Oryctolagus cuniculus: one gene and its partners. The protein of the gene in region 1 interacts with the protein of each later gene in a pairwise test. Links are inferred from orthologs where the notes say so. Each region holds a gene or a part of one and is shown in the gene's direction. Other genes may lie near its edges. The genes, in order: SH2B1, NTRK1 and INSR.

The links.
Region 2: the proteins of SH2B1 (region 1) and NTRK1 interact in a two-hybrid assay, tested with the Homo sapiens proteins (2 studies listed by BioGRID). The link is inferred for Oryctolagus cuniculus from reciprocal best matches to the Homo sapiens genes SH2B1 and NTRK1.
Region 3: the proteins of SH2B1 (region 1) and INSR interact in binary tests that used the Homo sapiens proteins (3 or more experiments, as listed by UniProt). The link is inferred for Oryctolagus cuniculus from reciprocal best matches to the Homo sapiens genes SH2B1 and INSR.

What each region holds. Positions count from the first base shown.
Region 1 is NC_091450.1:7,706,087-7,709,653, forward strand, and holds part of SH2B1 (SH2B adapter protein 1), read left to right. Parts: coding exon 1-261; intron 262-428; coding exon 429-530; intron 531-745; coding exon 746-837; intron 838-935; coding exon 936-1,111; intron 1,112-3,567. UniProt on the Homo sapiens protein: Adapter protein for several members of the tyrosine kinase receptor family.
Region 2 is NC_091438.1:41,947,928-41,951,949, reverse strand, and holds the start of NTRK1 (high affinity nerve growth factor receptor), read left to right. Parts: upstream 1-1,197; 5' UTR 1,198-1,267; coding exon 1,268-1,479; intron 1,480-4,022. UniProt on the Homo sapiens protein: Receptor tyrosine kinase involved in the development and the maturation of the central and peripheral nervous systems through regulation of proliferation, differentiation and survival of sympathetic and nervous neurons.
Region 3 is NW_027208201.1:3,695,872-3,700,207, reverse strand, and holds the start of INSR (insulin receptor), read left to right. Parts: upstream 1-1,518; 5' UTR 1,519-1,889; coding exon 1,890-1,989; intron 1,990-4,336. UniProt on the Homo sapiens protein: Receptor tyrosine kinase which mediates the pleiotropic actions of insulin.

The sequences.
Region 1 (3,567 bases):
CGTTTCGAGAGGCTGAGACTGAGTCGGGGAGGGGGCGGCCCGAAGGAAGGGGCAGGGACGGTGCAGAGGGAAGAGCTGCTGAGTTTCATGGGGGCTGAAGAGGCAGCCCCCGAGCCAGCCGGAGTGGGCCGGGCCGGGGGGACAGCTGGGCTGGCGGCGGGGGCCGGGGGGCCGCCCCAGTGGCAGAAGTGTCGCTTGCTGCTCCGAAGCGAAGGAGAAGGAGGAGGAGGGAGCCGTCTGGAGTTCTTTGTGCCGCCCAAGGTGAGGCCCCGGGGTGGGCGCAGTCCTGCAGGGAGCCCCGCAGCGCCCCCGCGTCCTCCCAGCTGTGTGGGTCTCAGGCAGGACTGGGAAAGCAGAGCCCGGGGATGTAGAGGGGAAGGGGTCTCTCCGCACCCCACAGCAGAGCCTCCTTCCGGTTCCCGACCTAGGCGTCTCGGCCCCGACTCAGCATTCCCTGCTCTGCCATCACGGACGTGCGGACCACCACCGCCCTGGAGATGCCGGATCGGGAGAACACGTTTGTGGTTAAGGTAGGAGCCCGCGGGTGCTCGTGCACCGGAGCAGGTGCCCTTGGGGGAAGGGGTCGTGCAAGTCAGGTGCCCCAAGACGCGTCCTTGGGCCGGGCCTGCCGCTTTTCCGGAAGGGCATGGAGAGGGAGGTGGTGCTGCCTTCGTCAGAGCGGGGTTGAGGCGTCAGGATCGGGAAGGGACCTGGCGCTGGCTGGGACTGTCCTCTGCCGCCTCAGGTGGAAGGCCCTGCGGAGTATATCCTGGAGACGGCCGACGCGCTGCACGTGAAGGCCTGGGTGTCCGACATCCAGGAGTGCCTGAGCCCGGGGTGAGGAGCCCGCCTGCCGCTGCCGCAGGGCCCTGGGGCTGGGGGGGGGGGGGGCAGCCCCGTGCCGCTCACCTGGCTCACTTTTCCTGTCTCTGCAGCCCCTGCCCCACGACCAGCCCCCGCCCCATGACCCTCCCTCTGGCCCCTGGGACCTCATTCCTCACACGGGAGAACACAGACAGCCTGGAGCTGCCATGCCTGAACCACTCGGAGAGCCTGCCCAGCCAGGACCTGCTGCTGGGAGCCAGTGAGAGCAACGACCGCCTGGCGCAGGGTAAGGGCGCAGCCTTCGGGAGCTGGGCCTCGGAGCCCACCGCGCACGCGCACGCGGCCCCAGGCGCTGCAGGTTCTCCAGCGCGCCGCCCTGCCAAAGCCCATCTTTTGTACCTGAACACGCCACCACTCTCAGTGCCACCATTGGCCGTATTCTATAAAGATTTCATTTTTATGTATTTGAAAGGCAGAGTGACAGAAAGAGAGAGGGAGAGCTAGGTCTTCCACGGGCAAGTTCACTCCCCAAGTGACTGCAACAGCTGGGGCTGGACTGGGCGGAAGCCGGGAGCCAGGAACTCCACCCGGTTCTTCCACGTGGGTGGCAGGGGCCATGTACTGGGGTCACCGTCTTCCGCTGCGTCTGCAGGTGCATCGGCAGGGAGCTGGATGGAAGGCAGAGCAGCCAGGACTGGCACCGGCGCTCTGATGCGGGCTGCGGGCGCCACAGGCGGCCGCTGAACCTGCTGCACCACAGTGCTGGCCCCCTGTTGGCTGTTTAGAATCAGCGCCCTCACCACCCCACCCAGGCCCCGAGCAAATTCCTGTCCAGCCTTTTGCAACAGCTGTGTCACTTTGAAATTTGTATTAGCATTTTTTATTTAAAACAGATAGGCTTTTTTGCTCCCTCAGCACCCACAGTAGCTAGGGCTGAACCAGGCTGAAGCCAGAGCCTAGAACCCAATCCGGGTGTCTGACGTGAGTGTCAGGGACCCAAGTCCTTGAGCCATCACCTGCCGCACTGATAAGAAGCTTGGACCAGAAGCAGAGCTGGGACGTGAACCCGGGCACCCCGTACGGGCCTGGACGTCCTGACTGCTGTGCTGAGTGCCCACCCCGTGCCATGTCGCTTTCTCCCCAAGCTGCCCACAGGCCTGCACCTCGGTTCTCCAGGCCGCCAGCACGCCGGCAAGAAATCTTAGGTTAGCTCTTCCCTGCCTCCGCGTGTCGGGCAGTGGCAGCGGCCTCCCTTTCGACTCTTACTTTCTGGCCTGACCATACACACACACAAAGACTGCTCCCCCTCAAACACACACACACACACACAGACTGCCCCCCCACACAGAGAGACTGCTCCCCCTCAAACACACACAGACTGCCCCCCCACAGACTGCTCCCCCCCACACAGAGACTGCTCCCCCCCACAGACTGCTCCCCCTCAAACACACACAGACTGCCCCCCCACAGACTGCTCCCCCCCACACAGAGACTGCTCCCCCCCCCACAGACTGCTCCCCCTCAAACACACACACACAGACTGCCCCCACCAGACTGCTTGCCCTCCCACAACTCCCCCCTCACACACACTGCTCACCCTTCCACAACTTCCCTCACACAGACGGCTCCCCCCACAGACTGCTCTCCTCCCATACACACACATAGACACAGACTGCTCCCCCGAGACTGCTTCCCTTCCCATACACACACACAAACACGTACACTGCTCCTACTCTCAGACACACAGACTTCTCCCACCCTCTCTCACACAGACTACTCCCCCCCACAGACTGCTCCCCCCCACAGACTTCTTCCCCTCCATACATGCATGCACACACACACATAGACTGCTCTCCTCATACACACACACATATACAGACTGCTCACACACACACACACACACACACACACTGCTCCCACCCTCCCTCTCACACACACACACAGACTGCTCCCCTCATACACACACACACATATAGACTGTTCCCCCTCACACACACATACACACACTGCTCCCACCCTCCCTCTCTCTCTCTCACACACACACACACTCAGACTGCTACCCCTCTCACACACTGCCCCCACCCTCCCTCTCACACACAGACTGTTCCCACCCTCTCACACACCCTTACACACACTGCTCTCACCCCTCCCAGACTACCCCCCTCCCCCAGGCCACGTGTAGACTAGGCTGCTTCTGCTGCTGCCCTGTCTCCGGCCCCTGTGTTGTAAGTTGCAGCGTCCCGGTCCCGAGAAGTCAGGCTGTCCTCAGCAAGTGAACAGAGCAGTCAGATCTCAGAGCCAGAGCGGCGCCCACAGGTGCCTTTTCTGAGGCCCTCCTGAGTGGCACTGGCAGAGCCTGCTGCCCTGAGCGCGTGTCTGCCATGTCTGTGTGGCTCCTGAGCACTGACCGCCAGGGACAGTCGGCTGGGCTCAAGTCTGCCACCCAGCAGCCACTCAGCGCGCCTGGGCCTGGCACAGGCCCTGGGCAGGACGGGGACTCACGCCCGAGATGAGCTCCTCGCCCTCCACGGGCGCCGACGTCCCTGAGTGAGAAGCAGGCCCCTCAGAGCCTGTGCTTGGTGTCCTCCAAGCACGCGAGCAGGAAGCGCCTTGGGAGCTCAGGGGAGGTGAGGGCCAGGAACACAGCCCAGGGAGGCAGGTGGCAGGCGGCAGGCGCAGAGGCCCAAAGTGGGGAGGGCCCAGGGTATTTGGAAAAATTAGATAGGATGGGCTGCAGTGGAG
Region 2 (4,022 bases), on another chromosome or scaffold:
CTTCTGGCAGCCTTGGCTAGCGCAGCGAGCTCCTAGAAACCTGGCCAGAACGTGGGCAGTGTCTTGGAGCCTTTCTCGGCCAGGAGGCCCCCCTGGCCATTCTTTCTGGGTCCCTTGGCGCGAGCCTTGGTTTTCGCCACGTACCCCAGTCCTGGCCAGGATCCCCTTGAGGAACGCGATCACCCCGCGGGGATCTGCCTGTCTGGTCACCTTCCTGGTGACCCGGACTGCTCAGACGTTCCTGTGTGCCCCAGCCCCGGGGAATCGGGAGACCAGGGGTGCTGCCTGAGCTCGCGCCCTGGGGCCCTTGTTTGCCCCTCCCCTCGGCAGAGAGATCGGGCCCTTGTGGCCACCAAGGCCCGCAGGAAGCCCTGCGTGCTGGGAATCCCGGTACTTTCCAGGTGCGCGGCCTCCGAGGGCCGGCCGGTCCCCAGCTCCACCCTCGGGCGGCTCCCGCGGCCGAAGGGCTAAGAGAAGACCTATTAATTTCTCGGCGCAGAAATCGATGCTCTTGTCAAGGCGGCGATCGATGCCAGCTCTGCTCGGCCTGGTCCTGCCCGGCCGGGCACCGAGGGCTGACGCTGGGACCCGTGGCATGGCGCAGAAAGGGCTGCAGACCGCACCCCCGCATCCAACCACCCAACCTGGGTCCCAGGCTTGCACCTTAGCGCGCAGGCTTCTAGCGCCACCCTGTGGCCTTTGCTGGACGGCAGGGCCTCGGCTCCCTGACCCCTTCCCTTTCTCTGTCCCTTCTGTTTTGCAATTGGTCCTTTTTTGGGGGCTCCTCTTCCTTTTCTTCCTAGGGTTCAGAGCGTTTCACCCAAATTACCCCAAATGACGTCACTCCCACAGACGAGCACACCGCGAGGCTGGGGGCTGTCTACGCGGACCTGGACGGCTCAGTCATCTCCCCTCCCCCCAAAATGTCAAAAGGCAGCTGCTTGAGGCTGGGAAAAATAATGTATCAACTTCCCCGTGCCCCCACGGCCAGCCAGAGACCTTCCGCGGCGGCCCCTCCGCCCCTCCCAGACCTGGGGGAATCTTGAGCTACAAGGCTGGCGCTGCGGGCTCCCGAAAGCCGAGGCGGCGGAGGTGCGGGAGTTGGAGAGAAGGGGCGGGGCGGGGCCGGGCGGGGGCCGCTGGCTCCGCCCTTTCCTGGCGGCTGGGTCTTTAACACCGCCCCGCGCACATGTGCGGGGAGGCCCGGCAGCCGCAGCTGGGAGCTCACAGACGGCGGCCGGGCCGGGGTAAGGCGAGCGCCGCCGCGATGCTGCGAGGCGGACGGCGCTGGCAGCTTGGCTGGCACAGCCAGGCGACGGGGCCGGGCACCTTGCTGGCGTGGCTAATGCTGGCATCCGCGGGTGCCGCGCTCTGCCCCGATGTCTGTTGCCCCCGCGGCCCCTCGGGGCTGCTCTGCACCCGTCCTGGAGCCCTGGACAGGCTCCGCCACCTGCCGGGCATCGAGAACCTGACAGAGCTGTGAGTGTCCGGCGGGCGAGGGGGAGCGCGGGGACGGGCGGGCGTCACCGAGCCCCGAGGGCGCGGACTCACCGCCTGCCTGCTGGGTCAGGCGCGGCGGGAGGCTGGCCCTGCGTGTCTTTTGGCGGGGTCTCGGCGGTCCTTCGCCGCAGCCGCCCCTGCTAGCCCCGCCGTCACTACCTGGCTGCCGCCTAGGGCTCAGGCCAGCTGTGGCGCCAGGTTCGGGGAGAGCGAGCGCATTTTCCGTGGACCAGGTCTGAGAGAGCCCGGCTATCTTAAGGCACTTTCTGGAGCTCAGCCAGGAGCCCGAGCTCTGCTCCATTGGAGGCGGGGGATTGGTCGCGGAGACCCTCTCAGTTTGGCACCCCTACCATCTTTTCCTTTTTCTAGGGGGCATGCTAGCCCCCACGCCCTTGTCATGACCGGGCTCTCCAGGCCCTTGCCCTGGGACTGGGAATTGAGCTGGGATTGGCGGAACCTAGTGGCTCCTCTCCCGGTTTCCACCATCCCTTGAATCCAGGATGCCTTGGGTTGGATGTGGGGAATGGGACCCCCTCCTGGCTTCTCCAGCCGCCCCCCTCCAACCATCTCCCTTTCCATCCTTGTCTCGACTTGGGGCACAGTCAGGCCTTTGCTGAGAGCCCCCTGCCCAGCCCCCTCTACCCGCTCCCCTTGCTGCCCGCAGCCCAGGGGCATCTGCAGCGTTTTGCACTACTCTGATATCCTGCAGCCATTTGCCACCAAATACTCTGCTACTTTCTAGCGGCTGGGGAAACCTATGGGAGTATGCTGTAATAACTGGCCCCGAGGTACTGAAGCATCACAGAACAGTGGCTGGAAAATACTCAAGCATTGCCAGCAGGACTCCTGGCAGCAGGGACGAGCTGCTAGAAAAATCCTGCTCCTGTGGCCTGGGGCTGAGAAGGTGGACAAGGGACCCTGGCCTTGTGCAGGGAGGGGCTGGAAGGTGTCCGAGGCGGGGTCTACCACCACTGTCTGGAAGTTACTTGAGCAGCCTGTAATAATTGGCACGGACTTGCTCGGGCATCTCGTGGTAATTAACGGGAAGGTACTCAATAGCTCTCTCTAATGGCCCTGGGGAGGCTAGGAGCAGAGGAGATGGCCTTGTCTCGGTCTGGGCCTAGGTCTCTGCATGCTGGGAGGGGACCTGAAGCCTGTCCAGTCATCGCCCCAGGCGTCCCAGTGGGACCCCGGTTCCCTGTCACTGCTCTCATCTCCCAGTGCCCTTCCAAGCCCCAAGAAGAATAAACGCCTGGGGGAAGGGTGGACAGTCCAGGGTCGGGGGCTAGGAGGTATGCAGGGGGTGAGCTGAGATGTCCCCCTGGGTGGACCAGCAGCCCCCTCCCTCCTCCCTCACCCTCAGAGCTAACGAGGAGATAATGGACTCCAATAGACAGATTGATTACGAATCCAAACGAATGGGGCAGCCTTGAGGCAGCCTTGCGCAAGCTGCCTGACAGCCTGCACACACCCAGCCCGCCACCGCTGCTTCCCAGCTCCCCGGGCCCCAGCAGCCTGAAACCCTACGGTCAGGTGCTGTAGGGTGGAGAGGACCAGGAGCTGCCCTCCTTCCGGGTCTCTAGAGGTTGCTCCCTGAGCCTCAGGGCACGGAGGACCTGATTCTTGCCTGGCCTCTTGGGATCAAGGCTGGGAAGGGGGGCTGGGAGGAGGAAGAAGCTAGTCTTGGTTCCTTTATTTGGTCCTTACTTAGGAAAAGTAAGAGGTAGAGTGGGAGCATTCTGAGAAGCGGCGGTGAGTCAGGGCCCCGGGTGCCCATGTGAGGGCCACACTGACGTGCAACTTGCAGAACAGCCGAGTGCCCAGGACCTCCCTGGCACACTGGGTGCAGAAGCTAGCCCAGGGCTCCCGCCAGCCCCCAGCCCAGGTGCCTGCTTGCTCTGCTTTCTTTGCTGTCTTCCTATCTGGCCTTCTCTGCCTCTTTGTCCTTATCTCTCTGTCTCTGTCTCCCTTTCCTTATCCTTCTCCTCTCTCTCTCTGCCAGTCTCCCCCTATCAGCTTCTCTTTCTCACTCTCTCTGTTTCTGTCTTGCTCTCTTTGTTTTTCTGCCGTCCCTTCCCATCCCTCTCTCGCCATGTGAGCCAGCCAGTTCACTCCCACTCCATTCTCTCATTCCCTTTCTCCTCCTGCCTGGGCCCCTCCTGGGGCAGGGAGGGGTCCGGGGGTCCATGCCTGACAGCTTCTATGCTTCTTGCTTGCTCTGCCCAATGGGCAGGGGTGGAGGGAGGAAGGGGTTGATGCTTGAGTGTGGGAAGGGGCCAGAGGCTTTGAGGGGGTGGAGAAGGTGGAGTGTGTACGTGTGTGTGTGTGTGTGTGTGTGTGTGTGTGTGTAGTGGTATGAGTGGGCCCTGGGCAGGCGTGATTGGGGCACATGCTTGCAGGGACACAGGGTCTCTCCGTGCTGGGTGGGGCAGTGGCAGGGCTGAGCCCAGCCCCTTGTGGAAGCAGGTGTTTCAGCATGACCCCCATTGTTGAGCACACGCAGGGGAGGTCTGGAATGAAAG
Region 3 (4,336 bases), on another chromosome or scaffold:
TCTGAAGTACTTTGGGGGTGTGTGTGCCTGAATGTGTAGTGATGATGTCCAGAGAACAGGACATGACAAAGGTCCAACCACCTTACTGCATCCAAGGAGCCTGGCGTCCAGTCACGAGTGGATGGGAATGGCGGCTCCTCCACTCTCACCTCCTAGGTGCTCTTGGCCCTGGGGTTCCACCACCTCCACACTCTGCCTCACTGGTATGTTGGGTTGATGGTATCTGCAGGTCAGATTTGGGGAGGTGCATGGAAAAGACGACTTGGGAAAGTCCTCAGGAGGACCCCAGACCCAAAGCATTCATATTCTCATTTTCTCTCTCTTTCTCTCTCTCCCTCCTCCCCCTATGGTTTACTTATTTATTTAAAAGGCAGAGTGATAGATCTTCCATTCACTGATTCATCTCCCAAATGACTGCCACGGCAGGGGCTGGGCCAGGTGGAAGTCTAGAGCCAGGCGCTTCATCTGGATCTCCCCTGTGAGTGTCACGGGTCCAAGCACTTGGGCCATCAAGTGCTGCTTTTCCCACGTGCATCAGCAAGGAGTTGTATTGGAAGTGGAGCATCTGGGCCTGGAACCTGGTTCCCTTTCCTGTCTTTATTCAGCAAACAGAAGTCCATGGGGCCTTGGTTGGCCACACCTTGCAGATCCAGTTCTCTCTGTCTCTTCTCTGTATGCCCCATGGTCTCCATAACATGCTCATCTCAGAATTCCTGAGTGTTTTCTGCATTTCTTTCCTGTTTGTCAAGGCAGACACCACGTCAGTGTTGTTTGGTTCTTCGTCCCCTGAGATGTATTAGTGGGCTGATCAATATTTGTTTAATGGGAGAATCAACAAACTATAAGGGGTTTATAGTGAGCAAAACAAACATAACCCATTTCCTTCTAGAAACCGAGTTGCCTGCTGGAAACCGCGCGAGTCCACCTGCGCCTTATCTGGGATCCCCCACGACCTTGCGAGGGACGCTTCTCCAGCTTGGACCCCAGGCCTAGGAGCGCGCGGGGGACGGCGACCAGGACGCACGCGTGCTGGCAGGCGGCCGTCCCCGGGGGCCCCTGGCGCGGGTGGGTCGCGCCCCGGGTTGGGGCGCACGCGCGTTCGCCCAGCTCCGGGGCCCAGGCGCGCCGCGGCGAGCGGGCTGCAGCCTTTAAGGGAGTGTCGAGTCACCGAGACAAATCACACGGGTGTGCCATATGGTGACAAGCCTCCAATGTGAACAAAACAGCAAAATGGCCAAGAAGGGGAGGCTCGGCCCGGGCCGCGTCGGGGCCTCGAGGGTGGGGAGGGGCGTCCCCGGGCTGCGGAGCGGCGCTCTGTCCGGGCGGGGACCTGGCGCGCCCCCTCGGCCCCCGAGCGCTCGGGGCCTCTGGCGCGCTGGGCGGGGCCGGGCGGCGCCGCCCTCGCTCCCTCCCCTCCGCGGGCCTCCCCCGGGCCGCTCCCGGGCGCCGAGTCCCTTCCGAGGCCAGATCCGCGCCGCCTTTTCCCGCGGCCCTCACGGGGCCCAGCTGACGGGCCGCGTTGTTTACGGGCCCGAGGCCGCCCTCGCTCCCGCCCGCCGCCCGCCAGCCCGCCCGCCCGCGCGCCCCTCTGTCTGGGGGGCCGCCGGTAGCGCAGCTCCGAGAGCACGCGGCCGAGCGTCCGGAGGCCCGAGGCGCAGCGCAGAGCTCCCGGGCCGAAGACCGCGGGCCGTGGGCCGCGCAGCCGCGTCTGTGGCGTCCGCGGAGGCCGCGCGCCCTTCGCGGCGCCGTCTCCAGGGTCCTCCCCGGCGGGCGTCTCGGGTCCGCGGGCCGTCCTGCCCCAGCGCCTCTCAGGAGGCCGGCTCCGAGCATGAGCCCCGCGGGCCGGCGCCGCGCGCTCTGATCCGCGGGGACCCCGCGCTCCCGCAGCCATGGGCGCTGGGGGCCGGCGGGGGGCGGCGGCCGCGCCGCTGCTGGCGGCGGTGGCCGCGCTGCTGGTGGGCGCCGCGGGCCACCTGTACCCCGGAGAGGGTAAGTTTAGGGAGGCTTGGGCGCGGGCTAGGGGCGCCGCGCAGGGGACGGGACCCTCCCCCACCCCCCTCGCCAAAATGGAGCCCTCGTAGTGGACTGAGCATTCTCCCCGCTGAGGGAGGAGCGGTGGCCGGGCCGGCCGCTGCGGCCCCGCGCGGGGCGGGAAGCCACTGACCTTGGCCTTTGGTCGCCCGGCCGCGGGCGCCTCTCCCGAGCGCGCCCCCTCAGAGCCCGGCTCGCTCCGGAGACGCCACCCGCGCCCTCTCCGGGTCGCCTCTGGGCTGTGGGGTCACTGGGTCGGGGCAGCCGAGCGCCCGCCCAGCGCGCACGGTTTGGAGCCGCAGCTCAGGGAGTTCCGCAGTGGGTGCCGCTGTCTGCGTGGAAAGGCTGGGGCCCTCCCTGCTACCCCATTCCTTGGCTCTAGGACTCCTGGCCGACCGGACTTCCGAGGCCCCTTGGTAAGGCCTGGGCATCAGCAGCCGTGAGAGCACCACCCGTAGTGGCCTAACTGTTGTCATTAGTGTCACCGTTAACCCCACCAGTGACCCCTGGAGGCGATTAGCGTCCTGCACCCATTTCACAGAGGGATTAATTGAGGTCTGGGCAGGACATAGTCTCACTGTCCAGAGCCAGGACTGACCTTCTCTGTGTCCAGTTCTGTCTGAGGCACTGGACTGCTGTCCCTTGTCTCACGTCTCCCAGGTACCCCCAGCCCCTCAGCTCTGCCCTTGGAGACAGGCAGGGAGTGACCCTCTGGTGGGCAGCCCTCCTGGGTGCTCCTGCCTGGGCAGCAGGCAGAGGTGGACCCCAATCCTTGTGTCTTCCTCAGACTTGAGAGCAAACCCCTTTGTGGGGACCCTGATGTTGTCCACCATGAGGTCTGAGGCTGTTGTGCAGCTGCTTTGGGTTTCTCGTAAAAGATCAATCAGGGTGAGGAAGGGGCTGGAACGAGATGGAGTCGAAGCTCCTTAACTTGCAGGTGGCCACCGACCCCAGTGTGCAGAGGGAGGGCCTGGTATACAGTAGGTGCTCAGTCCAGTGTGCTGAGGGAGAGCCTGGAATACAGTAGGCGCTCAGCGGCAGGTGGAAGTCGCTATTAGTTCTTGGTGAGAATACCCGTGATGGGTGGTTATACCTGTGGCAGGCTGTGTGCACGTGCTCTATGTTCTGTGCGGCTTTGGTAACCAACCATGGGTCTGTGCCTGGGCTTTCAGGGGTCAGCGAACGCATTTGCCGGCTTTTCACCTGTTCCTGGTTTCCACCAGGGGCACAGCTTTTACTGTTTTTGTTCACTTCTGCAGTTCTTGAGCCCAGAACAATGCTTGGGTGCAGCAGGCGGTCAGTATCTTTGCTCCCTGGGGAGCTGACCTGGGTGCCTGCAGTTCCTTTATCATCCAAAGAAGCACCTTAGTCTCTGTGTGATACCTGCCTAACACTCAGCTTGCACTGTCTTGTGGGTTTGGCAGGCATAATCTTGGGGCATCCTCACCACACCCTAAGAGGCAGGTCGATGAGGAAATGTTATGAGGTTATAGGGCCAGCGTACCTGCTGTCCTACAATCCCCTGAGATCAATGAGATGGGGAGGGGCCAGCGACTTGCCAGGCTACCAGTCACTGACACCTGCCCATATGGTGTGAGATCAGTGTGATGGCTGGGGATGGACTGGTCTGGTCTATTCTCCCCTTGGAGGTTTTGCTGCTCTGCGCGGGATTGGGCGAGGATCTCGTCCTTCATTTTCTGCTGTGCCCTGAGCTTTGGGAAGTTAGAGGAGCAGCGTGAGACTGATTAAAGCAGGGGTGAGCGGAGTTTTGGGGGCACTCACTCCTCTCTGTGATGGTCACCTCCTTGCAGCTACCCCTTAACTATTGCTTCTCTCCTGGAGACCAGCCCCTCACCCCTTCCTTACTTGTTCCCAGAGACTCTGGTGGGGACCCCTCACCCTGGTCCCTCCGTGGTTGACACTGATTGCCCGTGGCTGCAGGGCCATATTGGGCACTGTGGGGTGTGGGGCAGCATCTCCTTGCCGGTGGCATTCCTCTGGCCCCTGGGTCGCGACAAGCACAGGTGCCTCCCGAGCCATTGCACGGGAGGGTGCTGGGTGTTGATTCCGCTCCCCTAGGGCTCTCTGCCTCTTCCTCTCTTTGTTCAGGAATTTTCACCTGCCCTGAGCCTTTCCCTTTTCAGCCCACATAGAAGCCTTGCACTCGGTCACCCAACCTTGACCTGAAGCCCCCTCCCTCCCCCCTTCACCTTTCACCCACTGGTCTGGCTATGGCGTCTTGCTGGTGTCTGCACCGCCCCTGGCTCTCTCTCAAAGGTAACCTACCCCTCCCAGTTGTGTCTCC